2 linked regions of the Chlamydomonas reinhardtii genome follow. The protein of the gene in region 1 purifies or fractionates together with the protein of each later gene. This does not show direct contact. Links are inferred from orthologs where the notes say so. Each region holds a gene or a part of one and is shown in the gene's direction. Other genes may lie near its edges. The genes, in order: CHLRE_12g488850v5 and CHLRE_16g685277v5.

The links.
Region 2: the proteins of CHLRE_12g488850v5 (region 1) and CHLRE_16g685277v5 purify together in Arabidopsis thaliana (affinity purification with mass spectrometry; 4 studies listed by BioGRID, with this or other methods). This does not show direct contact. The link is inferred for Chlamydomonas reinhardtii from reciprocal best matches to the Arabidopsis thaliana genes alpha-ADR and AT5G46630.

The regions. Positions count from the first base shown.
Region 1 is NC_057015.1:1,312,508-1,317,085, reverse strand, and holds the start of CHLRE_12g488850v5 (uncharacterized protein), read left to right. Parts: upstream 1-1,696; 5' UTR 1,697-1,839; coding exon 1,840-1,984; intron 1,985-2,088; coding exon 2,089-2,246; intron 2,247-2,371; coding exon 2,372-2,471; intron 2,472-2,655; coding exon 2,656-2,708; intron 2,709-2,854; coding exon 2,855-3,062; intron 3,063-3,198; coding exon 3,199-3,314; intron 3,315-3,494; coding exon 3,495-3,591; intron 3,592-3,746; coding exon 3,747-3,946; intron 3,947-4,221; coding exon 4,222-4,335; intron 4,336-4,578. UniProt on the Arabidopsis thaliana protein: Subunit of the adaptor protein complex 2 (AP-2). Adaptor protein complexes function in protein transport via transport vesicles in different membrane traffic pathways.
Region 2 is NC_057019.1:7,380,941-7,385,450, reverse strand, and holds the start of CHLRE_16g685277v5 (uncharacterized protein), read left to right. Parts: upstream 1-1,581; 5' UTR 1,582-1,778; coding exon 1,779-1,864; intron 1,865-2,097; coding exon 2,098-2,290; intron 2,291-2,590; coding exon 2,591-2,657; intron 2,658-2,874; coding exon 2,875-2,924; intron 2,925-3,085; coding exon 3,086-3,178; intron 3,179-3,431; coding exon 3,432-3,582; intron 3,583-3,829; coding exon 3,830-3,927; intron 3,928-4,179; coding exon 4,180-4,274; intron 4,275-4,452; coding exon 4,453-4,510. Other genes in the region: CHLRE_16g685389v5 (uncharacterized protein), read left to right, coding at 1-241. UniProt on the Arabidopsis thaliana protein: Subunit of the adaptor protein complex 2 (AP-2). Adaptor protein complexes function in protein transport via transport vesicles in different membrane traffic pathways.

The DNA.
Region 1 (4,578 bases):
GAGAGAGAGAGAGAGAGAGAGAGAGAGAGAGAGAGAGACAACGGTTTCCATGGTTATTCTGCCAGATCACGTGAATCGTGTATCTGGTATAACCAACGACAGGGCTCTCAAACGAGGGCTGCCGTGACCTGGCGTTTCCCCGGCAGAGCGCAAACAGCTCTGGAGTCCACAGGGTAACGCACTCCGACCCTTCACCGCGCCAGTAATCCTTGCGGAATTACTACCGGTGTGTGTGTGTGTGTGTGTGTGTGTGTGTGTGCGTGTGTGTGTGTGTGTGTGTGTGTGTGTGTGTGTGTGTGTGTGTGTGTGTGTGTGTGTGTGTGTGTGTGTGTGTGTGTGTGTGTGTGTGTGTGTGTGTGTGTGTGTGTGCGCGCGTCATTGAAATGCGTAAATGCGAATGCGAATGCGTGTTGCGGGCTGGCCGGGCGCCCTGAGCGTGAGGAAGGCGCGTCAGCAACTCACCGCCTGCCAGCAAGACGCAACAATTTATCGATGTCTCAGAACAGCAACTCCGACGTTACACCAGCTGCGCGCTCATACCTTGACGGCTTGACGGCGCGTATTGAATGTGAAGGTGTTGTATGACAGCCGGCAACAATGATGCCCCAGGGAGTGTTCCGCAGGTTGTGTACCGGATGTGGCGTACAACTACTGCGCTCCGCCCATAATTATCCCCTTCTGGACTGCACAGTCGCTTCGCTCGAGAGCACACTTGTCGTGACTTCCGTGGCAGTGGGGTGACCAGCCCACGTCGCGCTTACCCCCGCCCCCAGGGTATCGCCATAGCTAATTCTTATGAGCCAACTTCTTGACCAGACTCTCATTACTAGCCAAACAGGCTTTCAGCCGAGACCTCCCGTACGGGACTACGCCAACGTGCCTCTTACCCTGTCCCATCGCACCACTGCGCATTCTACGCGGCCTGCTTATCCTCACTCGCCCTTTGCCGCCTGTACAGTACCAACCGGTATCCGCCGCATGCACATGCCTACCTATCAACTTGTTGCAGCTGTGTGTCTATCTCTCCAACCCGGGCCTGCCCGAGCCCACGGCCCCCCGACACACGGCCGCCGCAGCCCACCAGTAGAAGGACTTGCGAGGGCATCTGAGCACCAACAGCACCCGCAAACGACGCAACCTATCTGCTGTGCATTTGTGCTCCAGTATGAGGGGTTCTAGCATTCTTTGGCCCCTGCTCAATCCTAGATCTTGGTGGCTGCAAGCTAAATGGTTGAGAGCTGAGTGGCTGTCTCGCTGAGACCTCGCCGGCAAGAGTGCACCGGCACCCATGCTCGCCGGTGAAAGATTGTGGACTTTGAAGGCAGGGTCTTTCTAGGGGCACCACCATAGATTGGAGGCAGTCTCTTGCGAAAGAAGAATCGGGCGCATGCCGGGGTGCAGTCTGACACAGCTGCCCATGTGTACAGTAAGGCCGATGGGGCCGATGGGGAGCAGGGGTCATGGCGAGCACTGGTGCGCTGTTGCCCGAGACTCGAAGTCGAAGCTGCAACCGGCACTCCCTCCCAAGCTTCTTCACGCGCATGAGTCACAGCGGGTGCTCGATCCGGATGTCAATGTGTCACGCGCAAAGGGCGGCGTCAAAAAAATGCCATTGTGTTTGCCCCCTTCGGTTAATGGCTGGCCCACATGGCCCTCGATGGCGGTCCATTCGGCAGCCCTTTTCAGTGTCTCCTCCGTCTGCTGCTTGATAAATACGTAGCAATTGCTGCAAGTAGTACCAGGGCCTTGCGACTGAAGACTCCACCGAACTTGCTGGCTTTATTGAACTACCGTTGTTGGCCTTCAGCATTACGTAGAAGACATTGAAAACAAACCAAAATGTCGAAGACTGCGTATATGCGCGGTCTGCAGGTGTTTATATCAGATATCAGGGCTTGCCAGAACAAGGAGCAGGAGCAGCGGCGCGTGGAGAAGGAGCTAGCAAAGATCAGGGCAAAATTTGGCGAGGACAAGAGCTTAAGTGGTGGGTTGGCAGGGAAGATCCTGTTGCACAAAGGATTGGTCCCTTCGGCCAGCTTCTCGGGGCTGTTCCGGCGCCCGAGATTCATGTTCGCCCCGTTTGCGCAGGCTATGACCGGCGAAAGTACATCTGGAAGCTCCTGTATATCTATATGCTGGGCTTTGACATTGACTTCGGTCACAAGCAGGCGTGTGACTTAATTCCAATGCCGAAGTACTCAGACAAACAAGTCGGGTACATGGCCTGCTCGCTCCTGCTGCAAGAGGTCAGTGGCACTCGCCTGCTCGTGAATCGCGCCTGCCCGGCTCCCGCGCCCTGCACATGCCCGCAGCAGCGGCAACATGTGTTTCAATTTATGGCTAGGCGCTCACCGCTAGCGCGTACTCGCAGAACGACGAGTTCCTGCGCTTGGCCATCAACGCCATCCACTTGGACCTGACCAGCCGGAACGAGGCGTTCCAGGCGCTGGCGCTGAGCTTCGTGGGCAACAGTAAGTCGCATGGACGGCTGAGAAGGGCAAATGATTATGCATGTCACGGTCGCTGAGTATACAAGGGTTGCAGGGAAAGGGCTGGGGAAAGGCGGAGTGAAGCAGGGGCGTCACGGGTGGTGTGGCACGGGGTCGTCCGAAATGCAGGGCCGATAACGATTGCCTGTGTCCATGCGCCGCATAGTTGGTGGCCAGGAGATGGCGGAGGCACTGACGCTGGACGTCATCAAGCTCCTGGTGAGCGCGTGCCGTGTTCCCTACTGCTGTAGGCCGCCCCAGATGACCTCGGCACTATTTGGCTTGTGTTAGTATGTTTGTCAGTATTGCACGTATGACGCAAGGAATGCATCGACCGGCTGCCATTCCCACGCACCCAACCGCAGACGAGCGGCGCCTCGCGGCCGCTCATCAAGAAGCGCGCGTCGCTGTGCCTGCTGCGCATGCTGCGCAAGACGCCGGCGGACGCGCCGCTGGTGGTGGCGGCGGACACGTTTAGCCCGACCATGGCGGCGCTACTGGAGGAACGGGACCTGGGCCTGCTGCTGTGCTCGGTGACGCTGCTGCACGGCTTGGTGGCGCGCTCGGGCACAGGTGGGGAAGGGGGGAGGGAGACGCACTTGGGGGATGCAGGGATAGCGCAGCGACACCATCATGTGGCGCTTCGGTGCACCTTTGTGCGGAGCACTGACATGCAACGTGTGGTTCCTGGCTGCGGGCCCCACCATAGGCGGCTACGAGACGTGCCAGGGCCGTGTCATCAAGATCCTGGAGCGCCTGGTGCGCGAGCGGGAGCGCATCCCGCCCGAGTACTTGTACTACGGTATCCCCTCGCCCTGGCTGCAGGTGGGCCATCACAGGGTGGGGTGCTGGTGTTTCTGGTGCTGTGGGCTGTGGCAATCAGATGCTGCAGGAATTGGCGCAGGACTGCAGGAGGCAGGGACGGCATCCAACAAGGCATAGATGTGTCATGGCATACCACCAACCGCTGCTCATGTGCCGGTGTCGCCTGTCGTTTGTTCGCAGGCCCGCTGCCTGCGCGCGCTGCAGCTGTTTCCGCCGCCGGACAGCGCCACGGAGCGCAAGGCGCTGCACGACGTGCTGCAGAACATCATCGCCACGAGTGAGTCAGGAGGACGACGGGATTCCCAGACAATCATTGCCGTGTTTGGGGCGGGGCGTTAGCCGGATAGGAGACAACAACAGCGCGAAGCGCTGCCGCCCTAGCGAACGCGGGCTCAAAGCCGCATGCTTGTGCCACATACCTCTGCTGCACAGCGAGCGCTGAGGCTGCCAAGAACGCCAACCCCAACAAGACCAATGCGCTGAACGCGATCCTGTTTGAGGCGCTGGCTGTGGCCCTGCACCACGCCTCCGCCACCAACAACGCCATGGCCGCCACTGGCCCCGACGCCGCCAACGACCGCGCTACGCTGGGCTCGTGCCTATCGCTCATGGGCCGCTACCTGGCTGGCAAGGTGCGGGGCGTGGAGGCGGGGGAACCGAAACACGAACCAAGTAAAGCGGCAGGATGGGGACTTATCACGACTCACAGCGAATCGCAACTTAGCTGGACGGGCGAGAGATTTCGGCTCCTGCAGAGGTCCTGAGAGCTGGCACACTCCCTGACTCGCATGTGGCCGGACACGCAACTGTGGCAGTATTGCATCTCCGAGTGGCGTGCGAATGGGCTGCGTGCGCTTCACCCATGACTCTCCCCATCTGCCGGTGTGTGCTGTGTGCTCCGCCGCAGGACCCCAACGCCAAGTACCTGGCGCTGGACTCTCTGGCGCGGCTGGCGGGTGCCATGCCGGAGGTGCTGGAGGGCGTGCGCCACCACCAGGCCACTGTCATGGCCAGCCTAAAGGTGGGAGGGGGTGGGGGCGCCGGAGGGGGCAGGGGTGCGGGACGAGGGGGAGGCAATATACCTGTGCGCAAGGTGTAACGGCGGTTGGAGCGTCTGTCTATGCGCAAAGCAGGCACGGGATGCACCGGGGAGGGAAGGGATGCAGCAGGAAGTAGGAATGGCGGCCTTGGGAGGTGACTCCAGAGGTCATTTCGACGCGCTTTACGCCATGGTGTGATGGCTGGAATATTGCAGTCATTTGGC
Region 2 (4,510 bases), on another chromosome or scaffold:
CGCCGTCCGCTGGGGCAAGAGCGCCGCCGGGGGTGACGGCGCCTGTGCCATGGAAGCGGATTTGTCGGTGCAAAGCAGGCAGGCGGCGATGGCGGCTGCGGCAGCGGATGGCGGCGCGGGGCCTGAGGACCAACAGGCGACGGCGGGCGGCGGCGGCGGGGCGGCGGGTGCGGGTGCGGCTCCGAAGGGCCCACTGGCCAAGATGCGTGCCTACTTCCGCAAGAAGCTGGACGTCATGTGAGCAGGCTGTAACTGTGATGTGTAGTGTGGTGATGATGTGGCTGGGGCCTGGGGCCTGGGGAGGTGGGAGCCTGCCGGATGCATGCTACGCCCGTGCTCGTGAAATCAAGTGATGGGCCGTCGTGGGATTGAGCGGTGGCGGAATGGTAGCAGTAGTGGCCATATGGGCTCATGGAGGGGTTGTGTGAGAGTTACCAAGACGGACGGCGCCAGGGAGCGTGTGTGTTGGAGGGGGGGTTTTCATGTGCCCGAGCCCAATAGGTAACAGTAGTGGAATGACCATTGGTTATGAGGCGTCACCCAGGTGGAGTCGTGAAGGCTTCGCAGCGACTCACGAGAACGTATGCATGTTGGGGGGTCGGGAGCCACACCACTCGGGTGTTGTGTCATGGAAGGGCTTGATCCCGCACAGAGCGGAAAGCAGGCAGACGGCAGTTGGATGGGGTTGCCGTCAATGTGCACCCCTGTAGGTGCCTTACTTGCCGCGAATAAGGCGTAGGCTTGAACGGTGCTAGCCAGAGCCGCGAGCCGTGGGGCTGCATGTGCAAGTTGGTGCGCGGTTCACGCTTGCGCTGGACCCTGGACCGCAGGATGTTGAACATTTTCAGGGTACCGATGCCGGTGTAGTGCCGACGCGTGCCGTGCATTTTGGAGTCTAAAGCTGGCCTTATGAGTTGCACGGCTAGGTCAAGGTGGCAGGACTTGAAGGCGCAAGCAGCGGGGTGGGTGTATGGATGAAGGGCTGTACCTGGAGGCCCGTTCGTTCGTGTGTAAGACAAGCGCTAGGCGAGGAACACGGCTCTACGTCTCAAGGGAAACCGGAAGAATGGGCTGCGCCCACGCCACGTTGGCGCAAGGTTTGAGGCCGAAGGTTTCAATTCCCGGACATTGCCGTCGGTTCGTACAGGCACCGCCCGCCGCGTGTCAGCCGCGTCCCGTCCAGCCGCGAGTGCCCGGGTATTTTGGGGTGGCCAGCAGCAGCGTGGCTGGAAAGCACAGCCCACATTCACGTACCTTACAAATGTCCAGTCCAAACTGCGTTGTTTGCCCCAGCATTGAGGTTGGTGCCGACGCATGCCCGCACGCACGCACGGGCAGAGGTGTTTTGGGGGGGGGGGCTTCGCGCCCTTGAATTGCTGCGCTCGGCGGGCTCAGCCCAAATACTGCAAGCACACGGGCTTATGACTGATTGCCGATGCCGCCGGACGGCTCCGGGCTCCCTCGCGCCTGAGTGCCTGACGCCTCCGCAGGGCTGTGCATGCACCTGCATGCAAGTGTGCATGCCGGTGCCGTGGCACAACACCCTTCGGTCTTCAGACTAATGTGCAGCCCTGGCATACTTAAACCACCATACTTCCTCGCTGACATCGCAGACATCACTTAACCGAGCGTTTGCACCTTCACGCCTGTGCAACTTCTGCCCGAGCTACCTGTTTTAAGCAAAGGTGCAGGTGACATGTCTGCCCTACACCCTTGACATTCTTCTTGCTTAGGCTAGCTTACGTCTAGGAACAGCTGAGCGGGAGAGCGGCAGAAGAATGGCTTGTTCAGCGTGCTCTGCCATCTACTTCCTCAACCTCCGGGGCGACATCTTGCTTGAGCGAAAGTACAAGGATGATGTAGAGTAAGTAGCAGAACGATTTCGGTACCATGGGGCCCAAGCGGAGAGAAACGGATGTTGAGTTTCCCTCCAGCGCGGGGAGGGCAGTTTGGGGGCCTGGAGCCCTGATGCTGCGAGCAAATGCATTTGTGGACATGATGTAACGCGTGGTGGCCGGGTAGTGGCGTCTGACTGGCCACCGCTGCTGCCAGTGGGTCTCAAAGCACCCTTTCAACGATCGGAACCCTGTGCCACAGCCGGGAGATCGCGGAGAGCTTCCGCGACCGCATCTTGAATGCACAGCATCAATCCGTCAACCCAGGCCAGTCTGGACCGATCCGGACGCTTGGCTCGGTCACGTTCATGTACCTGCGCCACTCGGACATCTATGTCTTGATGCTCACTCGGAGTAACGGCAACGCTATGCTGTCGTTCCGCTTCATGACCTCGGTAGGTGGCCGGAGAAGGGGTCGTGGGAGCCAGGGAAAGGCGTCCTGGGAGCCAGGGGAGAGCTGTTTCCTCTTGCCGGAGGTAGGGGTGAGCTGCGTGTAGCTGGGGACCGTATGGCGGTGCCAGCACAAAGTAGCCTGCCTCCTGTTGGCATTGCAGCGTGGATTGCAGACCCCCGGTTATTGTTAATACCAGAGACAGTGCGGGGGCAATCAGCGGGGCATTGCAGAGATAGGAGACACCTCTCTGCACGTGGCTCACGGCACCTGACCCCACGCGCTCCGCCTCTCCGCTGCACAGCTGGTGTCGCTGTTCCAATCCTACTTCGAGGGCGACCTCAATGAGTCGTCCATCCGCTCCAACTTCGGTGAGGGCTGAAACAGACTGGATGAGCAACTTGCACATGCTGTTTCTAGAGCTTGCGGCCTCGCCGAACCGCGCCTGGGGAATGTGGGTCAGGCGGTACCACCGTGCGGTACCACCGACTGCACATGGTCATGTCCACCGCTCTGCCGCGCCCTGACCAATGTGACCCACCGCTCCGTCTCACTCCTCGCAACCTGCATGGCACCCCGCCCCTGCAGTGCTCATGTACGAGCTGCTCGACGAGGTGATGGACTACGGGCTCCCGCAGGTGCGTGCTGGGGGGCACATGGGCACGCCGCGGGCTCCTGTGGGGGTTGATGTGGCGAGAGCCCGGGCAAAGCTGCCTGCTGCTGGCGGGTAACGTGCCTGACGTGCCCGCGCTCTCTGCTGATGTTGTTCCACTGGCCGTGGACCCCGGACGCTGCGCAGATGTCGGATCCGGCCATCCTCAAAACGCTCATCCTCCAAAAGGGCTACAAGTCGGAAGGCGGGCTGCTCGGGACATCAGCGTCGGAGGCGGCGGTGAGCCGCTGGCGCGCGCATGGGCTTCTAGAGGCGTTGGGGTGGCGATATGTGCTGTTAGTCCGCAGGCGCCAGGGCGTCACGTTATGGCCCGCAACATAGCAAGCTGCAAAGCGCTGTGCTGGGCAAATGAAGGCAGGCGTTCATAGGCGCTGCGGGCGAGGAGCGAGGGGCACTGTCGAGGGGGGGAGCGGCAAGCAGCTCATTGGGGTTCTGACGGGGAAGTACGGTGTGTATGTACGTGCCGCCTCAGGCGAAGAAGGCCAAGGAGGCAGCAGCGGCGGCCAACGCCACGCTGGCGGTGACTGGCGCGGTGGGCTGGCGGCGGGAGGGCATCAAGTACAAGCGCAACGAGATCTTCCTGGACATCGTGGAGCAGGTCAACGTGCTCATGAGCCAGAACGGTGGGGCCGCGGGAGGCGGCAGCCTCAGAGGGATGTGGTGGGCCACAGGGGCGCACGGAGGGCGGGAGCTGCGCGGGAGCAGGGCCAGGTCACTGGGGTCGACTACAGCGGGATGAACTGACGAGTACGATGGTATGAGTGCCGGGTCACTTGCGGAGGGGGCGTACACGGCGCGGGGCAAGTGTGCGGTCAGCAATGCTCCGTAACGTCTCACGGTAACGCCCCCGTCATCATCCTACCGCCACAGGCACGGTGCTGCGCAATGATGTGGTCGGGCGCATCCAGATGAAGTGCTTCCTGTCGGACATGCCCGAGCTGCGGCTGGGGCTCAACGACCAGATGCAGGTGCGTGCAAGCGTGCACGCCACGTGTCAATGTGGGAGGGAGTCAGCAGGCGGGAGTGGTTGGGTACTTGAGTTAGGCAGGGAGGCGTCGTGCGGCGTGCTTGACAGTAGTGGGGGTCTGGGGAACTTACGGCAACGGCACCGCACCCCAGCATCTGTGGACTGCATAGAAGAGGCAGATGCTTCGACCGTATAGCGCTCATCAGGGCTGCATGGGTCTGATCTGTCTCTGTGCCGTGTGTCGGTGCTGCAGGACGCGACCTTCCACCAGTGCGTCAACCTGGGCGCCTACGAGTCGCAAAAGGTGGTCACGTTCGTGCCGCCCGACGGCGAGTTCGAGCTCATGCGGTGAGGCGGGCGGTGTGGCACCGGGGCAGAAGTGTTGCTGGTTCTGCCGTGCGTGGGGCCAGAGCCACGCACGGCAGAAGAGGCCGGGCACAACGTTAGCTTCGTAACGGATCCGCAGCGCGTTACACTGCGAGCAAATGGCATTGACCTGACTTGCCCCACGCTCGCCTGCGCGCAGGTACCGTGTGAACGACGGCATCACACTGCCGTTCAAAGTGCTGCCGGTCATCAGCGAG